4 linked regions of the Mytilus edulis genome follow. Each later gene encodes a partner of the first gene's protein in a complex. Links are inferred from orthologs where the notes say so. Each region holds a gene or a part of one and is shown in the gene's direction. Other genes may lie near its edges. The genes, in order: nuclear pore complex protein Nup93-like, centrin-3, nucleoporin NUP35-like and nucleoporin NUP188-like.

Region 1 (7,377 bases):
AAAAAAATCCCACCTGCGCTTTCTCAATTATATTTTTACAGTGTGTTGTACTACTTTTGGGACAAATTATATCAAAATTATAGAAAACTTCATTAGCTCTTACTCAAAATATGGACAATTTTATGTTAAGGGGGTCTTGAAATCTTTTGACAGCTTCCGAAGTGCTAATTTTTGACCTTTTTCAGCTGGACCTAATCACTACTTTACATTAATATTTATTACCCAATTTTTTTTACAGTGTCATTTCACCCCCCAACTTGCTATATGAGGCATAAAACATGGAGAAATAAATTTGGAAGGGGTATAACAAAAATTGGCAAGTAACACACTGTCCACACTAAGGACTATATTCGTGGACAACGAAAATCAAAGGACGATAACTGTGTACTCTGACCTAATAGGATAGAAAAAGTTGACCAATCTTAATAAAACTTGGTATGACTAAAGCTTAATATATTATAAGACTGCTTACAAAGTTTCATAGCAATAGGATATATATTATAGACAATATGATTAATTCTATATTCAACTTTGTGTGTTAAATTTAGACGTTAAAATTGAGAAATTTCAACTATCAACATTTGGGGCTTTTAAAATTTAAATTTGGCAAAAAAATACTTTTAAAATGCCTTAATATATAATATATCATGTATTTAAAGCAATAGAGTACTCATTTGATATATCAGACTTAGCATTATTATTCAAAAGTCAAATTTATATGAGCCTGTGCTTAAAAATAGAGGTTTTCCAATGAAAGGGTGTCTTACATGAAGATGTAATATTTTCCAGCAAATTTAAATTTGTGAAGCTTTTTGATTATAAATAATCCTTACATATCTATTTAATGTACTTTAAATGGAAATAAAACTTACAAATAACATATCATATTAGTTTAAAAGGGTCTTAGGCCAAGTAAGACTAAAAATAATTTAGGGTCAATTTAGGCCGCAGCACATATTTACATTTAAAAGTGCATATTGAAGCTATAGGAAATACAAATTTGTGTCTTTTCTATCATTTCTATACTCAGGTGACATGATACAATAAATCTGAGCACAAAAAGGCTCTTACATTCAACTTTTTAGCAGACAGTATGGTCTGATACAAAGATTTTTCACTTTTTAGTGAAAAACTTGCATGCAATTTTAGTCTCAACAGGCTTATATTTGAACCACATGCTATCCTACAGAAGTAAAGAAAGATATTATGAGAAATGAAACAGGTACAAAGGACATTGTTAAGTGTTTTTTATACAAATTTAGTGAGGTCTTTATTATTGACTTCAACTTTTATGTGCCATGCTCCTCACATTTAACTTGATCCAAACAGGGCGTTAGACGAGGGTCATTTATACAACACATTTTGCTCATACTGTCCAAGATAATCTTCTTTTCTGTAGATTCAGAGTTCACAAATAAGTAATAAAACTGGATTAAAGCATAGAAACACAAAAATTGAGACATGAAAACATGTCAGATAGAAAGTCAGAATGCCACTTATGCATCAAAATTGAAAAAGCTATGAAATGCTTATTTTGACCATATAATGCCAAAATTGGTCATTTTTGCAGAAATTCTATCAAATAAAAGTTTAAATCCTTTAGTTTTAAGCTATTTGACAAATTGACAACATCAAATCATTCAGGGAAGTTGCCAGAGTACAGATTCTATATTTCCTGATTTCACCTCTTAGGTCTGAGTACACAGTTATTTCGTAGTGCATTTCTTTTAGATAATAAATGAAAATTTTAAAAATCCCACCTGCGCTTTCTCAATAATATTTTTACAGTGTGTTGTACTACTTTTGGGACAAATTATATTAAAATTATAGAAAACTTCATCAGCTCTTACTCAAAATATGGACAATTTTATGTTAAGGGGGTCTTGAAATCTTTTGACAGCTTCCGAAGTGCTAATTTTTGACCTTTTTCAGCTGGACCTAATCACTACTTTACATTAATATTTATTACCCAATTTTTTTTACAGTGTCATTTCACCCCCCAACTTGCTATATGAGGCATAAAACATGGAGAAATAAATTTGGAAGGGGTATAACAAAAATTGGCAAGTAACACACTGTCCACACTAAGGACTATATTCGTGGACAACGAAAATCAAAGGACGATAACTGTGTACTCTGACCTAATAGGATAGAAAAAGTTGACCAATTTTAATAAAACTTGGTATGACTAAAGCTTAATATATTATAAGACTGCTTACAAAGTTCATAGCAATAGGATATATATTATAGACAATATGATTAATTCTATATTCAACTTTGTGTGTTAAATTTAGACGTTAAAATTGAGAAATTTCAACTATCAACATTTGGGGCTTTTAAAATTTAAATTTGGCAAAAAAATACTTTTAAAATGCCTTAATATATAATATATCATGTATTTAAAGCAATAGAGTACTCATTTGATATATCAGACTTAGCATTATTATTCAAAAGTCAAATTTATATGAGCCTGTGCTTAAAAATAGAGGTTTTCCAATGAAAGGGTGTCTTACATGAAGATGTAATATTTTTACAGTGTCATTTCACCCCCAACTTGCTATATGAGGCATAAAACATGAAACTGAAATGGAAAAAAAAAATATCTTATCACAATAGTTACTTATCATTATTATATTCTTCTAGATGAAACCCTCTGACAAATTAAGCAAAATAAAGCAAAACAAATACAATTGTGTATAACAATGAATCAGTGATATTGTTTGCCTTAAATTACTGGAGAATAAGGGCTTTTTCCCCTGGTGTAGAATCCCAATTTGGAAAAAAAAATGGCTTAAAATTATTCCCAAAAAGACAACTCTTTTCCCAAATAGTGCAGTCTCAATAGTAATTGTGCATGAATGCAAACTGAAAAACACTCATTTATACATTGTTCATGCCTACAATGACTATATGTGTAGATTTGAGGGTTCATTTATGACTTATCACTGACCATAAGGGGTTTTGTTCCACTTTTGGTCCAAAGAAGCACAGGTACAAAACAAGATTTTGTTAATAAATGTATATATACAGAATACATTATTCACTATTAAATGTGTACTAGATTAGAATTTAGGGGAAAAATCTCTTTTTTATTAAACTTGTATTGTTGATAAAATTATTTACAATTTATCATAATCTTCTTTACTTATTGCCTAAAACACAAAAAAGAGTAAAAACAAAATCAACATGTAAGGGCAATCACTCTTAGGAGTATAGTATACAAACGATTTTGGCGATACACTTATAAAATGTATGTAGACCTTCCCTTGCTAATAATTTTTGTCATTTAAAGAGTTTATCTATCTTATATAGTTTTCAAGTGAACTAGAGAGATGGACCAAAACTGCAAAAGTCACCATGTATCTGTATCTGTATATTTCTCGGAGAGATTTCAAGAGAGACATTCTTTCAGTTTCTAAAGGTGTACATGAAATCAGAAAAAGTGAAATGGTTTCATCCTCTTTGCCACAGACTCTGCAGATGGCAGATACCTCATTTTGAAAAAATTTCACTCCATATATTTGTCTTCAAGACATGCAAGATGAAATTGCCAGTTGCAAATCTGGTCCTAATTGTTAATTTGATTATGTCTCTACAGTTTGATGTATTTGTTGTAAGTATTGGATGTATTCTTTCTGTCTTATATTCACCAGATATGTATTTTAAGCTGGAGTATCTCTCAGAGTCTTTATTAATTTTTTCATTCCAGTAGGTTACTAGGTATGTATAGACGTATTTACACTTGTATGCAAATTTGTCCGCCATTATGTAAAATCACACAGGTTCCCGTAAACTTTGACATCATAATTTAAATTATTTGACGTCACAATTTAAAAGTGATTGTTGCTTGACGTCAAAAGGGTTGAGTTCAATATCGTAGCAGCTACGTAGCAGCTACGTAGCCGCTACGTAGCAGCTATCAATATCTATGTAATAACTAGTATTTAGCTACACGTTCAATAGTCAAAATCTACGTAGCGCTACGTAGCAGCTACGATATTGAACGCAGCCAAGGTGATTCGGAGTAGATCTAAGGTCATTCGGAGGCAAGATTCAGCTAAATACCAAAAGTGTAAATACGTTTATTCATTTGGTGATAAACTTTCCCATTGCTTTGACTTTTTTTGTAGACTATACATGTATGATAAAAATTACATTGGTGGATAACATGGCAATTTAGAAAACTTACCAAGTAACTGATTAATCTAAACAAAAAGCTTTCTCTAAATTGAAAGTACACTTAAAATATTGCAATCCTGGGAAACACCTGACAAAACCTGGGCGCAGACATTTTGGATAAATCAAGGTAAATGAGACGCTTGAATGTAATTCAGTGGATAACTTACGTTTATTAAAACATTTTAATGATCCAATTTCAAATCATTCTTATTTTCCTTTGGCGGTTTTGAACCGGTTGAAGAACATCAACAAGGATTGACAGAATAGGCTTTTGCCATATGAAAAGGTTACTTATTTATGATGAGACAACAAATAGTTTGGTTTTGCCCTGATGTACTGAAGGAAAGCATATGTATCCCTCAAATCTATTGTTATCCTTTTAATAGAATTATTGTAGTTCATGGCAAATGTGGTACCTAGTCCCTGAATAAAAATGACATCTGGCAAGGCTATTATTTTTTTTCTTTCTGGGATGCCTTACCGTTAATATATTTTTTCTGTCATTGCCAATTTTCAAACACAGGTACTAGACTTTCTATCAATAACAAGAACATATAGACCATGGGAAGAAAATAGTTTCAATTTATACGACAATGTCTTTTTTATATACCTTGGCACCAGGGCTTCCAAAACGGTGATATATTCCGGTCAGTTTATAATGTCTGGTAAAAGTCCGGCTGTGCAAAGCATGAAACGGTCATATACTTTTTAGGTTTCAAGGCTTTTTCAGTCATTTTTACATAATTCACGATCTTTTTGAACCAATCTTTTGCCTATAACATCAACACAATAAAAAATTCCGGTCATAAATGTGACATGATGATTAATTACTATCAAAACAACACCTACTTCAATACTTTCTAATTTTAATCAAAGGACATCGTATAAATTGATCGGTTTATTCACAATTATTTTCTTACATTTCAGCGGTTTGTATCTAATTGATTTAGTCCAAAAGATTAAAATTATTAGAAATTAGTTGATCAACATGATTTGATGAAAAATTTAAAAAGGTTTTATATGAAAAATCGTCAGAACTATGTCGTATGAATTAGAACATGTGTGCACAGGTGGAAAAGTTAATAATGCATCCTCATTTCTTCAAAAATGCTAACATTATTATTGATCTAACGTTCATTTCAAGTATTTTGTTGAAGAAATAACGGGGAAAAGAGCTTCTTCTCTCTGTCGTGCTTTGTAAACGTACACAGATTTAAGTATCCCTTTATGGTCCAAGTTTTACCATTGTCAAGTCAACATCCAGTTAGAACAATGTGAAAACGAAAGTAAAGTTTTTGACAATGTCATTTTGCACAAATAAAAAGTCTAAGGCTGATGTGCACACTTTGAATTATGCACTGCCAATTTAACAGTTACACCCGAACATTACGTTCAGGTATTTCCCATCCAATATTTTATGGAAATATTCTTTATAAAGGACAAAAATGTAAGTATTCACCTCAGAAGCTAACAAAACCTTTAAATAGACTTATTAAGAAGGGATATAGTTACGATACTGTTGTCAGGTCATTAAAGATTGCATATTTTGGCGTTAATATTGATTTACTTATAGGGTCTTTGCATCAGAACTAATCACATTAATATTGATAAACCAGTTGTTGGCATGACACGGGTTATGTTCTTCTCATATATGTTATGATGGTATGATACTAAACCCCTCACGGGGAGGATTGTGCCTGATATTCATATGATGAAGACATAATTTTTCAATCAGTTTAATTGAGGTCCGGAGCTGGCATGTCAGTTAACTGCAAATAGTCTGATGTTATTTATGTATTATTGTCATTTTGTTTATTTTCTTTGGTTACATCTTCTGACATCAGACTCGGACTTCTCTTGAACTGAATGTTAATGTACGTATTGTTATGCGTTTACTTTTCTGCATTGGCTAGAGGTATAGGGGGAGGGTTGAGATCTCACAAACATGTTTAATCCCGCCGGATTTTTGCGCCTGTCCCAAGTCAGGAGCCTCTGGCCTTTGTTAGTCTTGTATTATTTTAACTTTTAGTTTCTTGTGTACAATTTGGAGTTTAGTATGGTGTTCATTATCACTGAACCAGTATATATTTGTTTAGGGGCCAGCTGAAGAACGCCTCTGGGTGCGATAATTTCTTGTTGCATTGAAGACCTGTTGGTGACCTTCTGCTGTTGTCTGCTCTATGGTCTGGTTGTTGTCTCTTTGGCACATTCCCCATTTCCATCATCAATTTTATTAAATTCATATCATATCAAAGTAAAGTTTAAATTTTTTTAATGTAATGTCAATCATTGGAATATGGCCATCTGATTACCATAATTGCCTTTTGTGACTAAGTCTTAAGGGATTAAAATTGGGATCAGATATGAAATGTCCGGCTGGCTCAAATATTTTTTGGAAGCCCTGCTTGACACACACATGATATAGTAAGATCCCCACATGTTAGTATGTTGATGGATTTCTGAAATATCGGTCTCTCTAATATGTCACTTTTGGAATTATAATAATAATAATAATAAATTCTTTATTTAAAGAGGGTATACTCAGTTAGTTACAATAAACTAATCTTCCCTGAGGCCCTCACATACAAATGATACAATCAAAACAGATATTTACACATAGTTAATTTACAATCATGTAGTTCAATGTCATTAACATAAGATATAATGCTGTTTAAGATGTATACATGAAACCAAAAAATCAAATGAAAGTAAAAAATATATAAATACATTGTAGCAAACATTTCTTATCAGGGTTGTGTTAGGTACTTCTTGATACTTTGCTTAAAAGTAAAAGTGTTTTGAGCTTTACGCATTTTGTGTGGTAGTCCATTCCATAATACTGATCCAGAATAAGCAAAGGATTACTTAAATAGTTCAGCTTTTGGCTTTGGAACTATCAGATTACCTTGAGCGACACCTCTTAAGCCTAAAGGAGTAAGGATTATTATCTGATTTCAGTTTAAACTTTTGAACTAGGTACATTGGTGCTTCCATATGCATACATTTATATAGAAGTAAATATTTGTGGTATTTTATTCTATTGTCAACTGTCATCAACCCAAGTTTTTTAAATAAGGGGGCTGAGGGGGATAAAGGATCTGCATCTAGAATTAATCTTGCTGCCCTTTTTTGGAGTTTTAAAATTCTTGAAACTTGAAAGCAGGGAGACATTTGTACAGGTGCCCCTTCTATCTGGTA
Region 2 (7,266 bases), on another chromosome or scaffold:
TATACTACATTGCTTATATATATCACCAGTACTTAATTTTCACACAAAAAAGTGGAACAACCAATACTTCGGATGTTTTGATATATAAAAGTTTGATAGAACATACAAATCAACTTTTACAAGCATTTTTATAGAACTCATCACATAGACGTATTACTACTCAATTTTCAACCCAATAAGTTCCCCTTTCCTATTTTCCCCTGCATATGAAATGCATTTTCATAAGTTTTATAAAAAAATATATATATGTGTATCAATAGTTGTGTCTGTGCTTGAATAAGAACATATGCTAAGGTTTAATAACTTTTTAAGTCTTTTATTCTTGTTTTTCGAAAAGACTAATTTTAAACCACACTGGTACAACTCCAAAAAAAAAAATCCGGAAAATTATTGGCAGTGCTAACCATGACCGGTAAAAAATGTCTCTTCTGGAGGTAAAAGTCATACAAGCTTAGCAATTAAATCATGTCGAGTCATTTGAGCGTGCCAATATTGTTTTAAACTACGCAAATTATCAGACAAGCCATCCATGCAGTGGTGAGTTTACTCTTCATAAATAACTCCAAGGACAGCCGCGTCAACATTCAGCATGCGTTGTTAACTACTTGATGAAAATAAAAATAATTTGCTTCTAATGATTTAAATTAATCGGGGTATGATGTTGCTTTTCAAATACTAATAGAAAGTCTACATGATATATATATATATAAAAAAGAAGATGTGGTATGATTGCCAATGAGGCAACTGTCCACAAGAGACCAAAATGCGAAAGAAAGGAAAAAAACGTATTCTTTGTCGTATAGTTTGCAGTTCCATTTGTTTACAGATATTTCATTTTGCGAGGGAAAAAAAAGTGAAAAGCTGTTTACGATCGTTCGAAATGTATACTTTTAGCTGAGTGTGTGATATTCCTTAACGAAAAACCAGAACACCCCTTATCAAATAGATGGTATTGGTATTGCCCAAAGTCTATATATAAAATGGTACAACAGTTATTGAGATTTGGACAATGACTGCTTTAAAACTATAATAAAAAAAAGTATGTGGTATGATTGCCAATTAGACAAATCTCCAAAAGACCAAATATTATACATACATTTACAACTATAGGTCACCGTACTGCCTTCAACAATAAGCTACTCCCCTACCGCATAGTCAGCAATAAAGGGTCCGATTTGACAAATGTAAAACAATTCGAACGAGAAAAACAACGGCCTAATTAATGTACAAATAATAAACGTAATGACAACAACTGACTAACAGGCTCCTGACTTGGGACAGCCACATACAGAATGTGGCGAGGTTAAAGATGTAAGCGGGCGCCCAACTCTCCCCTTATATCGGACATTGGGATATGTGGTGTGATTGCTTATGGAACAACTCTTCACATTAGACCAAATGACACAGATATTTACAACTATAGGTTACCGAACGACCTTCAACAATGAGCAAATCCCATACCACTAAGTCAGGTATTACAGGTGTCAAAGGGACAATAAGGTTTATTTCAAATGGTGGTAGATCCAAATCTTTCTTAAAGTCATTGAATGTAGAGATCAATTAGAGATTATAAGAAATATCTTTGTGCACATAAAAATAAACATGGGTTGATAAGATTTGTAGGTACATTGCAATTATGCACTATCGCACTACAATGATTTTGATTTGCAAGAACATGACAAAATATTTCTTGCGGGATCTTTTCAAAACATACCCTTTGAAGAAATTTTTTGTAGGATCTGTAAATGACTTAAGTGACAGATATAAGAATTATTCTGTCGCGTCTTTTTTGCCAATGCACAGATATTGAAAAGTTATTCTAGGGGTTGCATCATATTAAAATCATGACAGTTATTTTTCAATTCTAATAAAGGGGTTTCCTCATATGTCAGACATGATGAATTGTGATTTTAGACTGAAGGCGTTACTTCAACCAAAGCCACAAGACAGTTTTTACCTATTCACGACATATGTAACTTTTTACTTATTGGACCCCTGATGTCTGGCATACAACAGCAGCTCGCGCTCTTACAGAATGCGACACGTCTTCTCTAATTGAAATTGGCAAATGACAAAAATTATTAGGGGTCGGGAAAAACATGCATGTATCAAAATTTGTCATTCTAGCTGGTTCTTATATTCACACATATGTTGCAGTGAAAATTAGTCCAAAGCGGATCAAAATGACCACAGAAGCAATGGTCAATCAGTACATAATGGTCTGATTAAACTCAAGAGTATTGTCGGCGCCATACCATGACATCCAACTTTTTTTTTCTAGTATTCCGTTACCTTTTCAAATTGATGTGCATATTGATGTCTAGTGTAATTGTATTACAATTATACATAGACAACAACCTTAAATTTTGAAGTGTAATATCCCTGTGAATCTTTGTTTGTAGTTCACATATATATCGGGATTTCAAGTCTGTGATTTATTCCATCGTTTATAGTTATATAAAGAAGATGTGGAATGAGTTCCAATGAGACAACTCTCCATTCAGGTCATAATTTGTAAAAGTTAATCATTATAGGTCAAAGCACGGTCTTCAAAACGGAGCCTTTGTTCACACCGAACAGTAAGGGATCTAAAAAATTATTAGTGTAAAACCGTTGCAACGGTCTAATCAATATAAAAAAAACTAGGAACGAGAAACATTTATGAACCACATCAACAAACGACAACCATGTCTGGCGTTGTTTTATATATATATATATAAAAAAAAGGGGGGACACATATTGTCAATGCGATATTGGTCTCGTACTGATTTATTTATTAATATACAGAAAAAACTTCATATACTATAGTTTCATGAACATAAAGACTATTTTTATAGTTCTAACATCATTTTAAGTCTAACTATTCAGCCAAGAATTTTCATAATTTTTTTCATAACATCATTATAGGTCAAAGCACGGTCTTCAAAACGGAGCCTTTGTTCACACCGAACAGTAAGGGATCTAAAAAATTATTAGTGTAAAACCGTTGCAACGGTCTAATCAATATAAAAAAAATAGGAACGAGAAACATTTATGAACCACATCAACAAACGACAACCATGTCTGGCGTTGTTTTATATATATATATAAAAAAAAAGGGGGGACACTGGTTTACTTTACAGTTCTTATTTCTCCTCTGTTACTTATGGCATTTTAACAAAAACTTTCCCCAAAATATCTTTATAGGTAGCCATATATTATTGCATAGCTAAATCTTAATTATGGCAGCCAACTGAGATTACTTTAACATGTGTTATAGCTACATGTTATACTATAGCATCCGCATACCGGTATTTAAAAAAGAAATAAATATGAAAAAAAAATATTTAAAGCTTGAAATAAAAGAAACAAATATAAACCGACTATCTTTTCAAACTGTATGATCTCTTTATTGTTTTATTTATTTTATGTTTTGTCATGGATTTGTCATGTTGGACAATAACAGATTAAGAAAAAATCTGCTCATGATAGTCGTTTTTTAAGAAAGTAAGAATCCGCCGCACCCTGTTTTTTTTTTTATCATTATCAATTTGTCACGTCTATAAAGATTTCACAATTATTGTTCAGCGTTTGCTAGCTAGGAGACATCCTTAATTCATTCAGTCTGATTAAAATACAAGTCACGTGTCGAAGTTTTGCTTACACGCTTGTAAAAAAGCATGTGACACACATGATTTTAGTCAGATTGACTTAACATTCAGACTTTGTCAATCAGACACAATAAGGTATCAATCTGTTAATTATACAATAGTGAAGTTATAATAACTTATATTTCTTTATTCTTTAAAGTTACAAAATCATTAGCTGTTTTCAACTATTTTATACGTAGAGCAAGATTGGATCATCTCAGAGGAGGGGCGAAAGATACCAAAAGGACAGTCAAACTCATAGATCGAAAATAAACTAGCAACGTCTTGGCTAAAAAAGAAAAATACAAACAGGCAAATGATAGTACACAAGACCCAATATAGGTAACTGGAGACTAAGCAACACGAACCCCACCAAAAACTGGTGTGATATCAGGTGCTCCGTAAGGATAAGCTCAACAGTGATGCGTCTTCCAAAATGGGGACGAGGTTATTTGGGGCGAATTGTCTCAACTTAATACATATATTATACTTTCGTATTATTAAAGTTAATGACCTTTTCCTTGATATTATTAGATTGATATTTAATATAAATATTTGTATTATTTTTTTTTCTATTCTATTGAATAAATTGTTGCATATATATTTTATTTTGCTTTACGAAACAGTCACGAATTATCAGCGAACGGGATAGCAACGACAAGCGGTATTTTTAACCGCTATTTATTAAACCGTCAGAAAACTAACTTAGCCATGAGTTTAGCTTTAAGGTACAGAGTGCACGGGTTTCGAGTATTTGTATTGCAATGTAATCGAAAGTAAATCCTACTTTAAACGTTTTGATTTCGTCGTTACAGTCAAAAATATTTGCAAATCTTTCAAGTTCTGACAAGTCGAATTTCATGTGTGAAAGGATATGATTACAAAAATTAATTATTTCAAAGTTGTCATTGTGAAAGCATTGACTTGTAAACTTGTTAAATTACTGAAATTAACGTTTGATGTCAACAACGACACAAAATTAAAGTAAAACATTTTTATAATTTGGACCATCTAAGTTAGCCACTGGCACTAGCCATGCTGATAAAATATTTATATAGAAGCCAGGGGTTAAAAAATCCACTAGCCCGACGTCCGGGACTACAGCATTTAGGCCTCGGGCAACCAGAACTTGTAACCCAATATGCCCGACGGACTAGTAACAAAAAATTCTTGGCGTTTCCAAAATAGAAAGTGGAAAATCCCCTCATCACTATTCTATCTTAGCCAATCAGATTCGACTTCTTCTTCTTCTTCCAGGTAAGGAACCGAATTCAAATTTTGAATGTATGAGGTCCCGCGAAAACTAACGCAATGTCGGACAACACAGAAAGTTTTCTCTTGGCTATTTACAGGATAAAACGTTCTCTATATATATACAATTAAAACTATTTACAGGATGTTACTGTCTAAATTTTAGCAGAGCATGCCTTCAGGGCAGCTCTGAATCCATCAACTGTGTCAGCTGATGTTGCTGATGTTGGAAGTTGGTTCCAGTCTCTAATGGTCCTTGGAAAAAATGATTGTAAATAAGGACTCTGTGACGGGCAACTTATAATATCCGTGTTTTAAAGATTTTAATGATATCAAGCCTATCAAGCCAGTCCAGTTCACAGTACTATCACGTGGTACAATTCTCATTTACATATCATGAATATTAATTAGCAAAACCACTACTAATTTCTGGCAATGGGATATTTTTTTTGCTGACATAAGTTTTGGGTATCCAATTTGCTAAAATCTACTATACAACGGATAAAAAATGTTAAGTTTATAGAATTCATTGTATATTGCAGCAAACTCTGAATTTTTAAGGCATACTCGGGCTAGCAGGTCAATTTTGTTGGGCTAGTAGTTCTTCCAACAGGGCTAGTAAAATCCTGCTACCAATTAGCCCTGGGCTAGTGAGCTATAACCAGTCAGGGGACTTACTTAAATAAGTGATTTTCTAAATCACTGATTCAAGTAACATTATTTCCATAAAGGTTGGAAGTTAGAGTTGTCTTTCTTTAATAATCACCTATTTAAGTAGTACAAATTAATCACTAGAAGAAGTGATTTAATTTTATTTTAGCTTTAAATATAGAATACTAATGACCCAGGGACTAATTATGTTTCTAAACTTCTCAGAACCAACATCTGTGTTGTCTAGGATGACCAGGTCATTTCAGGTGATGACCTTGTACTGAATCTAGGATAATGACATAAAAATCACTTGTTTAAGTATCAGACCTCAATTTCCTTTCCAAAAATCACTTCTTTAAGTATCATTCTTTTAATAACCCCCACTAATTTCAACACCCCCGAACAGTGAAATTTTTATCGCGAACAGTAGAATTTTATTACATAATCTGAAAGATGAAACCTTGAACTTCATAGGAAAAATACCCCTACTGCTGGGAAAAATCTTTTAAAAAAGTATCAGTTCATTAAGTAAAGCCATTATTATAGCATTTTTTCAACTAAAATAGAATTTTCAGCTAAATGATAGCATCAAAGTCATAAACCTTGCTACTTAAAAGAAGCAAAAAGTTATTTTTTTTAAATTTTACTAATTAAAAGATATGATTTAAACCTATGTGTTTAAAATTTTGAAAAAATTACAAAATTCCAATTTGTGACAAAACCTCGAATTTGCTACTCAAATAAGTGATTTAAAAATCACTTATTTCAGTAAGTCCCCTGACTGATAACAAAATTTCTTAACCCCTGGAAGCTGTTTGGTCAATTTATGTAGTATATTCATAATAACCAACTCAAGTTTGGTCTATCGATTTTCAGGAATTTTAATTTAAGTACTGACAATGACTGAAAGCCATAAAAATCTATTTTATTTTTGAGAAAATACATTTTGTTTTCAATTTCCAATGCAGTTGGAACATATATATAATGACGGGACTTGACACTACTTACCAAACTATGTAATTTGTAATTGTAACCGATTTTATAGTCAATAAAGACGATTAGGAAACAGATGTATTAAAATATTTACTCACTTTTATCCTAATAATTTCTGATAATATCAATAAAATGTCATTCAAACTAATGTTTTGCATTAATTTCATTACAGAAGAGTAAAGAATGCAAACTTATTAATTAAAAAAGAAGCCGATTGCATTCCCAAATTCAAAATCATAAGAATATAAAAAAAATGTGGTACGATTGCCAATGAGACAACTGTCCACAAGAGACCAAAATGACACAGATATTAACAACTATAGGTTAGGCCAAAATAAATAAACAGTGTGTTTCCTATTTCACCCCGAAAAAATTTAGGTAGGGTAGGTAGGTAAAACATTTTATTTTATGAAAACTTTTTATTTTTTTCTATCGATGACAGCAGAAAAAGATTCAAAATGAAATCATTTGATGTGCCTGCATGCTTCTTTGATATTTATTAGTACTTAATTAAATCTACAGGTTTTTTAATTTTCTGTAAAAAATATAAGAAATATGAAAATTAACTTACGAATTTCATGGGCCGTAATAGGAATATGTTCTTGCCAATTAATTATCTTAAAGCAAAAATGGCAGTGAAAAATCTGGCATGTTATTATTGTTTGGCCTCGTTGAACCTAACAATGTAAATGACACACAGGGTATACATGTGGGAACAGACTCCTATCCCCTTTTTAAGTAG
Region 3 (7,407 bases), on another chromosome or scaffold:
GTAATAGTGTATCGTTACAGTTATCTGTTTAGCTATTACATTTTTAAAGATTATTTACACCGTCCGCCGTTGACTCCAATTGATGATAACATAAATCAAGCTTGTCTTTTAAAATAACAAAAAATGGTAAAAGACAGCTTTGCGTAGGGGGATAATTCATGTGATATAATTTTGGTAAGTTTACAGAAATAGAAGGTCCACAATGCATTAATCGAGTAAAAATGGAGCAATTTCAGAAAACTTTAATGATTGGTTTAGGAGGTGTTGGAAATACCTGATGGGTGCCCCCATATAATTTAATGTTCAAGTCCGTATCTTATATAAAGTAACCCCATTAAAGATTTTTACTAAAAATCGAAATAGACGGTACACAATACAGTCATTATCATTTATGATAAGGAATCCGAATAAGATTAATTAATAGTTATATCAGTGACGGATTCAAAAAAAGGGGATCCGGCAGTTTGAAACCCTTTTTAACTATCAATTCATTTGTATGGGAACATATATTTGGAATCCCCTTTTCTCCTGGATTGGACCCCTCTCCATTTAAAAATGGCCGGAACCCCCAATGTATATTAAGTGGTTTATGAGGAGATGCGCTTACAAAACCGGCGGAACATATTGTACCGGTCCAACGGACGAACGGAAAGACGGACTTCTTTATCACTATAACCCTCCGCTTGACAAAGTGGTGTACAATTGAGTGTCAAAGAGAGTTTTCTCGTTTGAATTGTTTTACATTGTCTTATCGGGGCCTTTTATAGCTCACTATGCGGTATGGGCTTTGCTCATTGTTGAAGGCCGTACGGTGACCTATAGTTGTCTATGTCTGTGTCATTTTGGTCTTTTGTGGATAGTTGTCTCATTGGCAATCATACCACATCTTCTTTTTTATATAGCTCTACATCTTAAACAAAGTGAAGGAACTGTGATCAATTATAGGCCTCAGTAAGGCCTCGAATGTGTGTAAATACATGCATTTTTATGTAACAACTAAATCTGTGTGTTTGTACAATTTTAAGTATAACGGAGGACATTTCTGAAACTTATATACTAGTATACATCAAACCTTCCTCTTATTTTAGCAACATTTAAACATCCTTATACTTAAAGTAGTAAGTCGAGTACACCCAATCAAGCTAAAACATGTTTCATAAGTTTTCAGGATGTGAATGTATTGAAATATATTTGTGTTATTTAGAAAAATGCCACCTTCTAATGTATCGTAAATAACTTTGAAATCACCACTAGAATACAGTGACATAAAGACTGATCATACAGTTTTAAAATAAACAAGCGAGACTGATCGTACAGTGAGAAATTCAAACAAGTGTAATTTTCTTATTTCTGGCTTCAAAGATCTGGTTGAAACTTTTACCACCACTTGAAATATACTTCATTGAGTTAATTAAGTCTGGTTTTACGTTAATTTGTACACTAAGAGGGTAAAAAGATTGTTTTTAGGTTCGCCGACTGATTTTTCTTAGTGATGCACTTGAAAATCTCTTGATTAAGGCAAAGACACGGATATTGAATGTGCGGAATTTAATTCTAAACCATTTGAGAATATCGATGTCGGCTGAATTAATCATTAAGCAATGTACAGATGATCAACTTACCGTTTAATTCAGTATACCCATCAAATTTAAAATGTGATCCAAAAAGTTCTCGCTTCGAAAATCGCGACTTCCGGATAGCGTACAGAATAGTATCTACACTGTGTAGTGTATATATGTTATTGTTAATGATTTTTCTTTGTCATATTATTTTTAAATTAAGTCCATATGTACATAGCACACAAGTTCCGGGAAGTTTTACACTCCTACCTAGGAGTCTACTCCCGTATTCGGAAGAAGAAGAAGAACTTCAAGCAGATGATGTATTTATTTACTCAATTGAGTTATTGGACATATCGATCCATATATATTCTATAGTCATTTCCACAACACGTCAAATCGTCTCTAGACAGATATATAAAGCGTTTTAGCTATCACGTCTAATCATACACCTTGTCATTTTGTAAAATTGCCGGAAATTCTTAAAAATTAAATTGCGTGAGTCATGAGTTTAAAAAAAAAGAGTTTTGAGTGAAATGTCTTCCTTGTACTGTTGCCTTGATAACTCTTTTAGACTATCTTGTTCCGCCCTTATACCACACTCTTGATTTCATTCTCTATGAATAATCTTCAATAATTCGGAAGGATCGCTAGAAAATTGACAACTAATAGTGTTTGGCGAAAGGTGCTTTATTATAATAATGCAATAATATACAATTATACCAAACATGGTATCAATAAGCAACAATGAACAAGTGTGAATATGAAGCACCTTAACCCAAACGAAGTCGCCAAACAGGAAAGAAAAAAAAACAAAAAAAAACCCCAAAAAAACATGTGTGTAATCATGATCCTGTTTAGTCTGACAATTCAATAGAAGAAGGATACCCTTCATACAGCTTGACATTGTACATGATAATAATTTCGTTAATCAAGCAAATGACAAATATGTAAAACTAAAATTTCATCAACAACATTGTAATTCATGTGTAATTCATGTAATTATTATCTTTGACAACAGTATCAAAATCAGTGCTACATCATGCATAATAAAGGCATCAAAAAAAATATGGATAATTTCAGTCATAAATAAACACCCTTGTAAATACAGCGGAGGGAAAGGGGGGACTTCTACACTACACAATCATGGCACTAGTGATCACACTATTAAACACTACTTAGTCTAGGTGAACTTATCGTCTCTAGACAGATATATAAAGCGTTTTAGCTATCACGTCTAATCATACACCTTGTCATTTTGTAAAATTGCCGGAAATTCTTAAAAATTAAATTGCGTGAGTCATGAGTTTAAAAAAAAAGAGTTTTGAGTGAAATGTCTTCCTTGTACTGTTGCCTTGATAACTCTTTTAGACTATCTTGTTCCGCCCTTATAACACACTCTTGATTTCATTCTCTATGAATAATCTTCAATAATTCGGAAGGATCGCTAGAAAATTGACAACTAATAGTGTTTGGCGAAAGGTGCTTTATTATAATAATGCAATAATATACAATTATACCAAACATGGTATCAATAAGCAACAATGAGCAAGTGTGAATATGAAGCACCTTAACCCAAACGAAGTCGCCAAACAGGAAAGAAAAAAAACCCAAAAAAAACATGTGTGTAATCATGATCCTGTTTAGTCTGACAATTCAATAGAAGAAGGATACCCTTCATACAGCTTGACATTGTACATGATAATAATTTCGTTAATCAAGCAAATGACAAATATGTAAAACTAAAATTTCACCAACAACATTGTAATTCATGTGTAATTCATGTAATTATTATCTTTGACAACAGTGTCAAAATCAGTGCTACATCATGCATAATAAAGGCATCAAAAAAAAATATGGATAATTTCAGTCATAAATAAACACCCTTGTAAATACAGCGGAGGGAAAGGGGGGACTTCTACACTACACAATCATGGCACTAGTGATCACACTATTAAACACTACTTAGTCTAGGTGAACTTATCGTCTCTAGACAGATATATAAAGCGTTTTAGCTATCACGTCTAATCATACACCTTGTCATTTTGTAAAATTGCCGGAAATTCTTAAAAATTAAATTGCGTGAGTCATGAGTTTAAAAAAAAAAGAGTTTTGAGTGAAATGTCTTCCTTGTACTGTTGCCTTGATAACTCTTTTAGACTATCTTGTTCCGCCCTTATAACACACTCTTGATTTCATTCTCTATGAATAATCTTCAATAATTCGGAAGGATCGCTAGAAACTTAAAGAAGAAATTTTATAGATAGCACCTGTTCTACTGACATATCGAAATAATGGATATACTCTCCAAAGAGGCGGGGATTCAAAAAGGAATAAGTTATCAAAGGTATCAGACTTTTAATTTAATAGATAAGATTAGTACTTAAAAAATAGATTAGTTCATAAAAAATAGATTCTAAACATGCTAAAGTCAGACAAGCTTTTTGGAAAGCATTTACTTATTTCTGTTGTATAAACATTTATACACGATGAATATTTAAAGATCACCTTCAACTTAGGACTACTCCTAGTTATGTAAATCAATGGTCAATAATAGACGTATTTACACTTGTATGCAAATTTGTCCGCCATTACGTAAAATCACACAGGTTCCCGTAAACTTTTACATCATAATTTAAATTATTTGACGTCACAATTTAAAAGTGATTGTTGCTTGACGTCAAAAGGTGATTTGGAGTAGATCTCAGGTCATTCGGAGGCAAGATTCAGCTAAATACCAAAAGTGTAAATACGTTTATTAACTAGGAAATTGCAATACAAATGGTCAGAAAATAATCCGGATAATTTTGCATCTCCATACCGACATATTTTTTACAGATTTCATTTCCTCCGCATGCGCACAAATTTCTGATCGAAAATTGAAAGTTCAAAAGAAAATAACTTTATTATTTCTTTGGATTGCTTATTAATAAGGAAATGATGAGTCATACTTTTGACAGTTATGGTAAAAAAACATAGACAAATTGATTTTTTATTTACTTTGTGATATATCGGACAACACCAAACAGGCACTGCACTGTCAGAGACAGAATGTTTGGCTGTCAATCATTAAGTCAACAATTTATGCACACTACATCCCATGAAAAGACATGTAGTGATGTAAAGTCATTATATGGTTTACTAGATACTAAACATACTGGTACTGAGCGGTTCCAGCCATTTTAAAAGGGGTTCCCAAACCAAGAATTAAAGATAAAAGAGGGGGTTCAACCATATGTCCCCATTCAAAATTGACAAATACATTGGTCTGTGACGGCATCACAGGCACTTGTTCAGTGTTCCAGCTAGGCCGTTTTCAGAGGGCGCGGCGCCCTGTGCCCTTTTTACAGTTTCCAGGGCGCCCTGCCTTTTTTGAAGATCGATTGCATATTAATTTGCGTATTGATATGATACGCTAATTACTAAATTTTACCTGGGGAAAAGATTATGACTTTGTTTACCACCCCAAGCTAATCAATGGTTACAACTGGTGTCATAATCTGTTGTTATAGGTAATCCGTTTATCGGATGGGTCATTAATGATCATCAACATTAATTCGTTCAAATAGAATCGGTCAGTCGGCAATTATCTTTGAAGAAATGTGCATACAACAACTTGGGCACAATTTGCGATGTTTACCGTAGTTTCATGGAAGAAACGTAATGACAGAAAGTTGGAAAACCATTATAAACTCGTTGAAGACATTGTTTTACTTGTTTTCTGTAAAATAAACAGAAAATTCAGACGTATTTGTCATTGACTGCCTTCATTTTTGATACGAAAATAACAAAATCGGCTGCCATATTGTGATCATATTTGCATCATATTTACGTACTGTTTATAATCCTCCAAAGAAGGAGCACACCCGAATAAAGAAAGATAACTCAATCTGATTTTTTTCCTAGCATTGAGTAACCCATTTACATATTCTAAAATGTGTCTCCATACTTCTTGCTTAAGAATATGTATGTTTAGGTATTTATTTAGAGTTATGAGAAAAGTTAAAGAGGGTCTTAGTAGCAGTGTTGGTAGGGTGCCTTGGTCATCTTTTTCTGTATTCTTTATTTTTGATACTATTTTTCACTGTTGCTTTATATCATGTATATCCTAAAATTGTGAATTTACTGAGCACAGCTGTTTTGTGCTGTATTGCCATCAAGCACAGCAGGGGTAGAAAGGTGAAACTGGTAAAATGTGGTAGAAACAGTATGAAACAGATCTCCTTTCAAAACATTCTGCATATAAAGTTCAACTGTGCCAAGCAATGATAAAAAAACTTGTGTGACAAGCTGCTTGACAAGTTTTTCAGCCTTAAAAGTAGAAAGATAGAGTTCTATATGGGCTAAAGATGTTGTTCTTGTATAACCTGTGATTCAACGAATAAACACAAATGTTTGATTAACATCTTTTATTAAAATATGCCCTTTTCATATTATCATATCGCGCGTTAAATGCCCTTTTTCAGGATTGGCACCCTGCCCTTTTGAAAACCTAGCTGGAACACTGTTGTTTCTATCCATACGAAGGTCGACTATCCATATAAATAGAAGAAGGTGGCTAACGAAATTTTTTTTAGGTCACGACAGTCTCCGCTTGGGACGCTTTTTCTACCCTTCAACTTAATGCTAAAAATCCCTACCTTATATGAATCGATTCAGTGAATATTTTCCTTTAACACTAAACTAATTTCATAATCCCCACAGTGTTCCTCTTCACGGTAATCTACTCTCAATTCACTAAACCATGTCCAAAAGTTCAACTACCATCTTTTCAATGTATCTACTTCCGGTTGACATCGCAGTAAATTTATTTCGTTTTCATTGACTCAGTTTCTTTCCCCTAATTCTTATGAATCTGAATACGTTTTTTACCTCCAAAATAAAAGATCGATGAAATTCTTTAGAGTTAATACCATATACATTCGGAATTCTCTAGTATTATCGAATTCATTCAAATTAGTTTCTGATTTTCTGGCTTTTTTTTATAACAACGATAAATGTACTTATTTCGGTGAAATTTCATCTTTAAAAATATATTGATAATGAAAATAATAAGCTGGTAATTTTACAGAATCATTTCGTTTTTAAAAAGATAGCATTCTTCCCACAACCGGAAGTAGATACATTGAAAAGATGGTAGTTGAACTTTTGGACATGGTTTAGTGAATTGAGAGTAGATTACCGTGAAGAGGAACACTGTGGGGATTATGAAATTAGTTTAGTGTTAAAGGAAAATATTCACTGAATCGATTCATATAAGGTAGGGATTTTTAGCATTAAGTTGAAGGTTAGAAAAAGCGTCCCAAGCGGAGACTGTCGTGACCTAAAAAAAATTTCGTTAGCCACCTTCTTCTATTTATATGTATAGTCGACCTGCGTATGGATAGAAACAAGTGCCTGTGGACGGCATTGCTACCCTTAGCTAGTAGATACTTAGACAGCTGTTAACGGTCAAGTTAAGGAAGTACTTCTTTAGCTCAGGAGGTTCAAGTGCTGCCTTGTAAGACGGATATTATCATGAGTCCTGGTGGAGACGAGCAATTTGGTAATAATGAAATTCATGCTTTTCCAGTTACATTGGGGCCCAACTGAAAAACCCTCAGTTGTTAGAGAGAAATTTAAGCTGTGGTATGTGTTTACGAGTCATAATGATACATGTATGATGCCACTAGAGGTGGGGGGAAGTGTGACTGGATTGCTTCCCTTCACTAGTAGACACTTAGTCAGCCGTACAATGTATTAATCAATCATGTGTCAGTCAGGGGCAGTGATTTCAAGATCACTTGAATAATTCAAATTATGACATCAAGAAAAAGACAAATTTAAACATACATTTGTACTTCATGAT
Region 4 (7,152 bases), on another chromosome or scaffold:
CGAGATGTATAGAGACACAGACACGTTAACTTTTATTTCTATAGAAGTCGCTCTTCACTATACTACTACCTGTCGATACATTTATTTTTGGCATTGCACAAGTCATGTCTTCTTTGACTATTAATGACGTTAAAATACTAAATCCCTGTGATGTGTTTTAGTCGATTTTAGTCTCTGATGCATGATTTTTTATTATTAATTGGTTTTGGCTTTTAACTAGCTGTCAGTAACTGCGAGTACTCTCAAATCGTATTTTCTTGTTAATTCGACCTGTTGATACTGTTTATAATGCTTTTTTGTTATTTTTTATTTATATGGATCTTGTCTGTACACCAGCTTTGATTATTTGTATTATCTTCAATTTTTCACTTATTCTTACAACATTTGTATAAACTTCAAGATTATAAAAAAAAACGTTTTTTTTCTAAAGTTAACATTGATTGGTTAAATATTTCTCAGTCATGTCCTGCGTTTGAATTTGTTTGTTAGCTTTTTGGTCATGAATGTTTGTCTCTAATATTTAATTAACTGTGCATTTGTATTCAGATATCGCAGATCAAATTTATTCGTTCATTGTTTAATCATACGTTTTTTGATTGAGTTAAGTCTGCCAATTGATATTTTATCGTATGTTTTTCTTTGTTGTGATGTTATGCTATTGTTTCAGAAAAAGGGAGAAGGTTTGGATCCATTAAAACGTTTAATCCCGCTGCAAATGTTTGCACCTGTCCTAAGTCAGGAATCTGATGTACAGTAGTTGTCGTTTGTTTATGTAATATATACGTGTTTCTCGTTTCTCGTCTTGTTTATATAGATTAGACCGTTGGTTTTCCCGTTTGAATGGTTTTACACTAGTAATTTTGGGGCCCTTTATAGCTTGTTGTTCGGTGTGAGCCAAAGCTCCGTGTTGAAGGCCGTACTTTAACCTATAGTGGTTTACTTTTTAAATTGTTATTTGTATGGAGAGTTGTCTCATTGGCACTCACACCACATCTTCCTATATCTATTTTAAGGACATTAACAAAACCCAGTAGTACATGTATATGACCTGGTAGATGTACTATACAAATGTAGAGAACCGTTTTTGTTATTAACATGTATCGTAACTTATCAACTCTTCAGTCCAAGTTGATAACATTTGAGGAGGAGATGATTTGATCAAAGTCTTTCCAATCTTGACGAAAACTCGCGTAACATTCGTGCATATCCATCAATAATGGACGAGGGGTCAATACGTTATATATATGCAATATGGACCTGTTTCATATTTCTAGGTCTGCCAGTCGATTTATGTCGTACTTTATAATCAGCAATTTTTCAATGTGTTACTCCACTATTACTGAGTGGATGGGTATCATAAACAGTGGACAGGAACTTGAATTGGTATAGATCTGAGACATCAGCGTTCTTTTCTTATGCTTGTTCCAGCTTAGGAAGCTCGTAATCAGTATTGGAAAATGGGAACAATTTATAAAAAAGAATTGTAAAAAGGAAAAAAAATGTCAAAAGCTGTATTTTTTCAAAATATATGTTATTCAGAAATATGTCCACCAAAAAAAATTAAACTTATTATAACTATCAATGTGGTATGTCATTTTGCGTTTCGTCTAAATTTATAGATTTGATAAACTAATTGTTATGTTCAAACTGTATTAAACTAAGTAATTTTCACGTTTAGTGATGCCAGTTATTCATCTTATAAAAAAATGGGAATCTGATAAGATTGTTAATTCCACAGCTACATGTATCTATCACATGTACAATTATCTTTGTGCCATTTTCACATCTACACTAACTTTTTATAGTGAATCAGAGTCATTGTGACATATAGGAATAATTCTCTGTTGTCATATTCTGACTTTTATACAAAGAAAGTGATAAAGATAAACCGTGCTTTTGTTTCCAAAGGTTTTGGAGAAACTGCGATGACAAACAATAAAAATTAGAAGATGTAGTATAATTGTGTTATTATTGACAAAGTTGCAACAAGGTAGGGATAGCAAAAATAAAAACATCATAAATTGTAAAAGCATAATTTTTTGCAGCATTTTATTCGCATGTGTGTGGATTGTCAAACAGCGAAAATATATTTTGTAATTAAAAGTATATGATTTTGAAGTGGCCATTGCATATAAACCACTTTTATATACATGTACCCTTAAGGATAAATGTCAAAGTCAGTTTAATCTTCCATGGATCACAACAGATTTTCGTGAGGTGCTGCACGCATATGGCAAATATCAAAAGATTTTGTCACAGGGTAATCAGATCGTGTTCCAACATGCACGAAAGTATTAAAAAAAAACCTATTCACTTTGAGATCAAAGGTCAAAATATTATTGTAGGTATCTATGGCATTGACCTATGACCTACTTGCCAATTTAATGAGATTTTCTTACATTTTCTAACTAAGTACTATAATTATAGTAAAAATGTGTACAAAAGAAGCAAATTGTAAATGAATACTGTGTGTGTGTGCCTACATTGTAATGATTGCTATTGCAAACAAATGTGCAAAGTGGAGACGAGACTTCCCCTCTTTTCTTTTTTCTTTCTCTTTTATAAAAGACATGATGAATTATTATACAATAAAGATGCAAAAGTAAAAGGTATAATGTTATACACTCTATGTAATACCAGTTTGGTTCGCCAAATAATTTTCGCAATTATTTCAATTTTCTTGAGTTTTGCATATTTTTTTTACCTTATTTAAAAAAAAAACCAAAACAGATATAAAAATGTTAGTTTCATTAATTTTTTTATACCAACCTAGTACCAGACTTCCATATAGGTAGTTTAATCATAAGTGTTGCCTGGTGCAACACAATTGTGTTAGTCTCGGTAAACAACAAATAATAAATAAAGATATATCATAACAAGAATGTGTCCATATAATACGAATGCCTCATTTGCAAGGCCATTTTATGTGCTCTGTCGAACGTGAATTTGGGGTCTGAACTCCTATTTAGTATTATCATACTAAGAGAACATGTGTACTAAGTTTCAAGTTTACTGGACTTCAACTTCATCAAGATCTACCTCAGCCAAAAACTTCAAACTGAAGCGGGATAGACGAACGGACGAACGGGCGAACGGACGCACAACCTGAAAAACAGCATGCCCTTTTGACGGGTGCAAAACCATACCCAACTACCTCCTCGATGCAGATGGTCTTTCTTTTCGCACGACGATGTCCTTATCATGTTACATTCTTGAGCAGACTTGTCATTTTCAACTGTGTACCACTGTAGATGAGCAACAACTTATTGTGACAAAATCCAACACTGAATATAATCATTAAATCAATGAAAATGTATTCAAAGACTTGACAAAACAGAGACATTTATCTTCAGAAGGAAAACAAGACAGAAAATTTGAAGCCAAATGTATCAACTTCTATTGTATGAATGGGATAAACTTACCTTTCAATTCTCAAGGCTAAATAAGTATTTTATAGGCTAAATACAAACTTACCTGTCAATGTAGAATTGTAATCTGAGTGATACCGGTGTTACTCAAGTCACCATAAATGCAAACAAAACAGGCTGCTGAACAACGGTATGGGAAAAACTGGAAAGAAAGTTGGTGTGAATTATTTGCACACCCTATAGTCAGACACAAAGATGAAACACAGTTCAAGTTTGTAGTGAAATGATATTTCATGTGTAAGATTTAAATATGTACCAACACACAACAGTAAGACACTGGTTTTGACGGTAACACTTTAAAAGCATTATTTTTAGGTTGTTAAATTTAAGTTTTTGTCTGAAAACTTATAGAATATGAATGCATATTATAACTTCAAGTTAATTAGAATATCAATATCAATATGCATGCTTTGCTTAACTATCACAGGCACTCGTCTCAGAATTTTTTCCCCCTATAAACCTTTATGATATATTGATGTGTTTCCCTCAGTTTTAGTTTGTCTGAACCCGGATTTGTTTTTCTCAATCGCCGTTCACAGGCACATGTCTCGGAAATTTCTTTCCTATATACCTAAATATAACACTTATATTAAGGTAGTAAATCCCCCTCAAATAGTGACAGTTGGCAGGTGCTATTATTCATTTTTAGGAGGATGGGCTTTAAAAAAAAAAACTACCTCGGAAATTTGAAGGTCCGTCAATTGATTTTCATTTATGTACCTTTATTGTGTTTCCGGTAAAACAAAATGTGAAATGTGATGGCGGGACAGCTGAAATCTGAAAGGTTGAAGATTTTCCCTTATTTCCATAATATATTACTATTTTGATCGGTCTCATTTAATTGCCTGAACCAATTCGTCATTTCAGTGTCACAGTTTTTGTCCTTTTTCTTCCAGTTTTATAATATCGTCATTTTCGACCCTGGTTTGAAGGCAGAAATTAAAATATAATATGTGTGGTTCCAGTAACCCTAGCTGCGGAACCGTACTTTGCGGACCATGGTCCGCAAATAGTCAAAAAATAACATAAGGTAGCACTCCACAGTTAGGTGTGTAGTTTCGCATTTTGGCCCCTGTGGATTTTTCAAATATTAGAGCTAGTGTGCAATAAAATTCATTTTTGGATAGCTGAGTATTAAAATAGCCTTTGTATTGGGTTTATATGAACATCAAGAGTATGTAATATAGGCTGTTCTCTGTATGACAGTCCGTATTTGCATGTCCCTACCATACATTGGTCCGGCAATTATTGTAATGTTTTTTTCCAACTTTTTATCGCACGAACTTTGTGATTGGATTTTACGAAAAAATGAGGAGAAAGACACCCATTTTTTATTTGATCATTAGGAAGATTTATGAAAACAGTTTCTAAAAAGGTATTACTCAAAGGCATTGAAATTCTAGTTTGATCCAAATTTTGGGGGGATATGTGACATGTCCTGGCAGGTATTGTGGTACGCACTGAAACCCGGACCGGACCGGACTCCGGACCCGGACTTTGGTATGAAACCCGGACCCGGACCCGGACTGGCCGCCGGACCCGGACTGAATGCCGGACCCGGACTGTGGTTTTTTTTACCACTTCGGTTTTTTTTTAAAGATTACTGTCATATAATATATAATCAAGCATAATCAAGCATGTATATAAGTTAGATTTAAAGGGGCAGTAGCTCCGAGATATAATGAAATAATAAATAAAAATGTTCAATATAGAGAAATAATTTTATTTTAGCAGCCATTGTCAAAATAAACTAAGATACATCGCTTATGAAATATTCACGTAATCTCCGTATCCGTAGTATTCCTTTGGTAAGAAATACAGAAATAATCTTGTGTTATATATAATGAGTGGCAAAAGTTTACAAGGCCGTATACGTTAACCGGGATATTTTTTACCCCAAGATGGTACTCTGAATAAAATCTTCTGCGGCTCCTGATTGGATGATCATACAAAGTTGGAATTGCTCCAATAAAATTTAAGCAGCGATCGATCATCTATGTAATACACAATCTTGAACAAGTGAGTCCGGACTGTGACCTGACATGACCCCGGACTAGCTTGAAGTTTACTATACCTGCGTGTATTGCATTACGACGACTAACTGTATGTAAACTGTTTATTGTCGTAAAGTATATTGATGGGACATTTGATCAATCATGTAATACATAAGAAAGTTATAAGATATGTATCCGACATTTAACGAAAACATTAAATGTAATAGGCGAGTCCGGATGGTGACCTGAAGTAACCCCGGACTAGGTGTATTCGCAAACTATAGACATCGATAGAGATATAAAACTTCACAAATTATTTGATGAGACGAACTTATTCATTTTTATTCATTCAACTTTTTCCCTTATTGGATTGTCGTCGGAAACATTAATAAAAGACGTTTCCCCGAGAATCAACAAATTAATATTAGGCGAGTCCGGACTGTGACCTGATATAACCCCGGACCAGGAGTATACGGATTGTATATAAATATACTAAATTATTTGTTTAATTGAAAGATTTTTTTCCCCTTTTTGCTTTTTACATTTCCTTTATTCATTTCTCTATTTCTTTAGTTATTCGATTGTCATCGGAAAAATCAATAAACGACACTTAAGCGGCGTTCAACAATGTAATACACAATCCTGAACAAGTGAGTCCGGACTGTGACCTGACATGACCCCGGACTAGCTTGAAGTTTACTATACCTGCGTGTATTGCATTACGACGACTAACTGTATGTAAACTGTTTATTGTCGTAAAGTATATTGATGGGACATTTGATCAATCATGTAATACATAAGAAAGTTATAAGATATGTATCCGACATTTAACGAAAACATTAAATGTAATAGGCGAGTCCGGATGGTGACCTGAAGTAACCCCGGACTAGGTGTATTCGCAAACTATAGACATCGATAGAGATATAAAACTTCACAAATTATTTGATGAGACGAACTTATTCATTTTTATTCATTCAACTTTTTCCCTTATTGGATTGTCGTCGGAAACATTAATAAAAGACGTTTCCCCGAGAATCAACAAATTAATATTAGGCGAGTCCGGACTGTGACCTGATATAACCCCGGACCAGGAGTATACGGATTGTATATAAATATACTAAATTATTTGTTTAATTGAAAGATTTTTTTCCCCTTTTTGCTTTTTACATTTCCTTTATTCATTTCTCTATTTCTTTAGTTATTCGATTGTCATCGGAAAAATCAATAAACGACACTTAAGCGGCGTTCAACAATGTAATACACAATCCTGAACAAGTGAGTCCGGACTGTGACCTGACATGACCCCGGACTAGCTTGAAGTTTACTATACCTGCGTGTATTGCATTACGACGACTAACTGTATGTAAACTGTTTATTGTCGTAAAGTATATTGATGGGACATTTGATCAATCATGTAATACATAAGAAAGTTATAAGATATGTATCCGACATTTAACGAAAACATTAAATCTAATAGGCGAGTCCGGATGGTGACCTGAAGTAACCCCGGACTAGGTGTATTCGCAAACTATAGACATCGATAGAGATATAAAACTTCACAAATTATTTGATGAGACGAACTTATTCATTTTTATTCATTCAACTTTTTCCCTTATTGGATTGTCGTCGGAAACATTAATAAAAGACGTTTCCCCGAGAATCAACAAATTAATATTAGGCGAGTCCGGACTGTGACCTGATATAACCCCGGACCAGGAGTATACGGATTG

What was found.
Region 2: nuclear pore complex protein Nup93-like (region 1) and centrin-3 share a complex: the UniProt entries of both Homo sapiens proteins name them as parts of the nuclear pore complex. The link is inferred for Mytilus edulis from reciprocal best matches to the Homo sapiens genes NUP93 and CETN3.
Region 3: the proteins of nuclear pore complex protein Nup93-like (region 1) and nucleoporin NUP35-like are in contact, whole or in part, in a crystal structure (PDB 7MW1), measured with the Homo sapiens proteins. The link is inferred for Mytilus edulis from reciprocal best matches to the Homo sapiens genes NUP93 and NUP35. Residues at the interface, in NP_055484.3 of Homo sapiens: Tyr266, Tyr269, Asn402, Ala407, Asp408, Lys409, Thr410, Glu411, Tyr413, Tyr448, His452, Phe453, Val455, Asn456, Leu461; in NP_612142.2 of Homo sapiens: Ala88, Pro89, Pro90, Val91, Arg92, Ser93, Ile94, Tyr95.
Region 4: nuclear pore complex protein Nup93-like (region 1) and nucleoporin NUP188-like share a complex: the UniProt entries of both Homo sapiens proteins name them as parts of the nuclear pore complex. The link is inferred for Mytilus edulis from reciprocal best matches to the Homo sapiens genes NUP93 and NUP188.

The regions. Positions count from the first base shown.
Region 1 is NC_092348.1:93,171,138-93,178,514, forward strand, and holds the start of nuclear pore complex protein Nup93-like, read left to right. Parts: upstream 1-4,351; 5' UTR 4,352-4,465; intron 4,466-7,377. UniProt on the Homo sapiens protein: Plays a role in the nuclear pore complex (NPC) assembly and/or maintenance. May anchor nucleoporins, but not NUP153 and TPR, to the NPC. During renal development, regulates podocyte migration and proliferation through SMAD4 signaling.
Region 2 is NC_092354.1:69,364,501-69,371,766, reverse strand, and holds the start of centrin-3, read left to right. Parts: upstream 1-4,260; 5' UTR 4,261-4,340; coding exon 4,341-4,357; intron 4,358-7,266. UniProt on the Homo sapiens protein: Plays a fundamental role in microtubule-organizing center structure and function. As a component of the TREX-2 complex, involved in the export of mRNAs to the cytoplasm through the nuclear pores.
Region 3 is NC_092350.1:3,170,015-3,177,421, forward strand, and holds the start of nucleoporin NUP35-like, read left to right. Parts: upstream 1-4,404; 5' UTR 4,405-4,496; coding exon 4,497-4,524; intron 4,525-7,407. UniProt on the Homo sapiens protein: Functions as a component of the nuclear pore complex (NPC).
Region 4 is NC_092345.1:50,791,062-50,798,213, forward strand, and holds the start of nucleoporin NUP188-like, read left to right. Parts: upstream 1-4,147; 5' UTR 4,148-4,186; coding exon 4,187-4,212; intron 4,213-7,152. UniProt on the Homo sapiens protein: Component of the nuclear pore complex (NPC), a complex required for the trafficking across the nuclear envelope. Required for proper protein transport into the nucleus.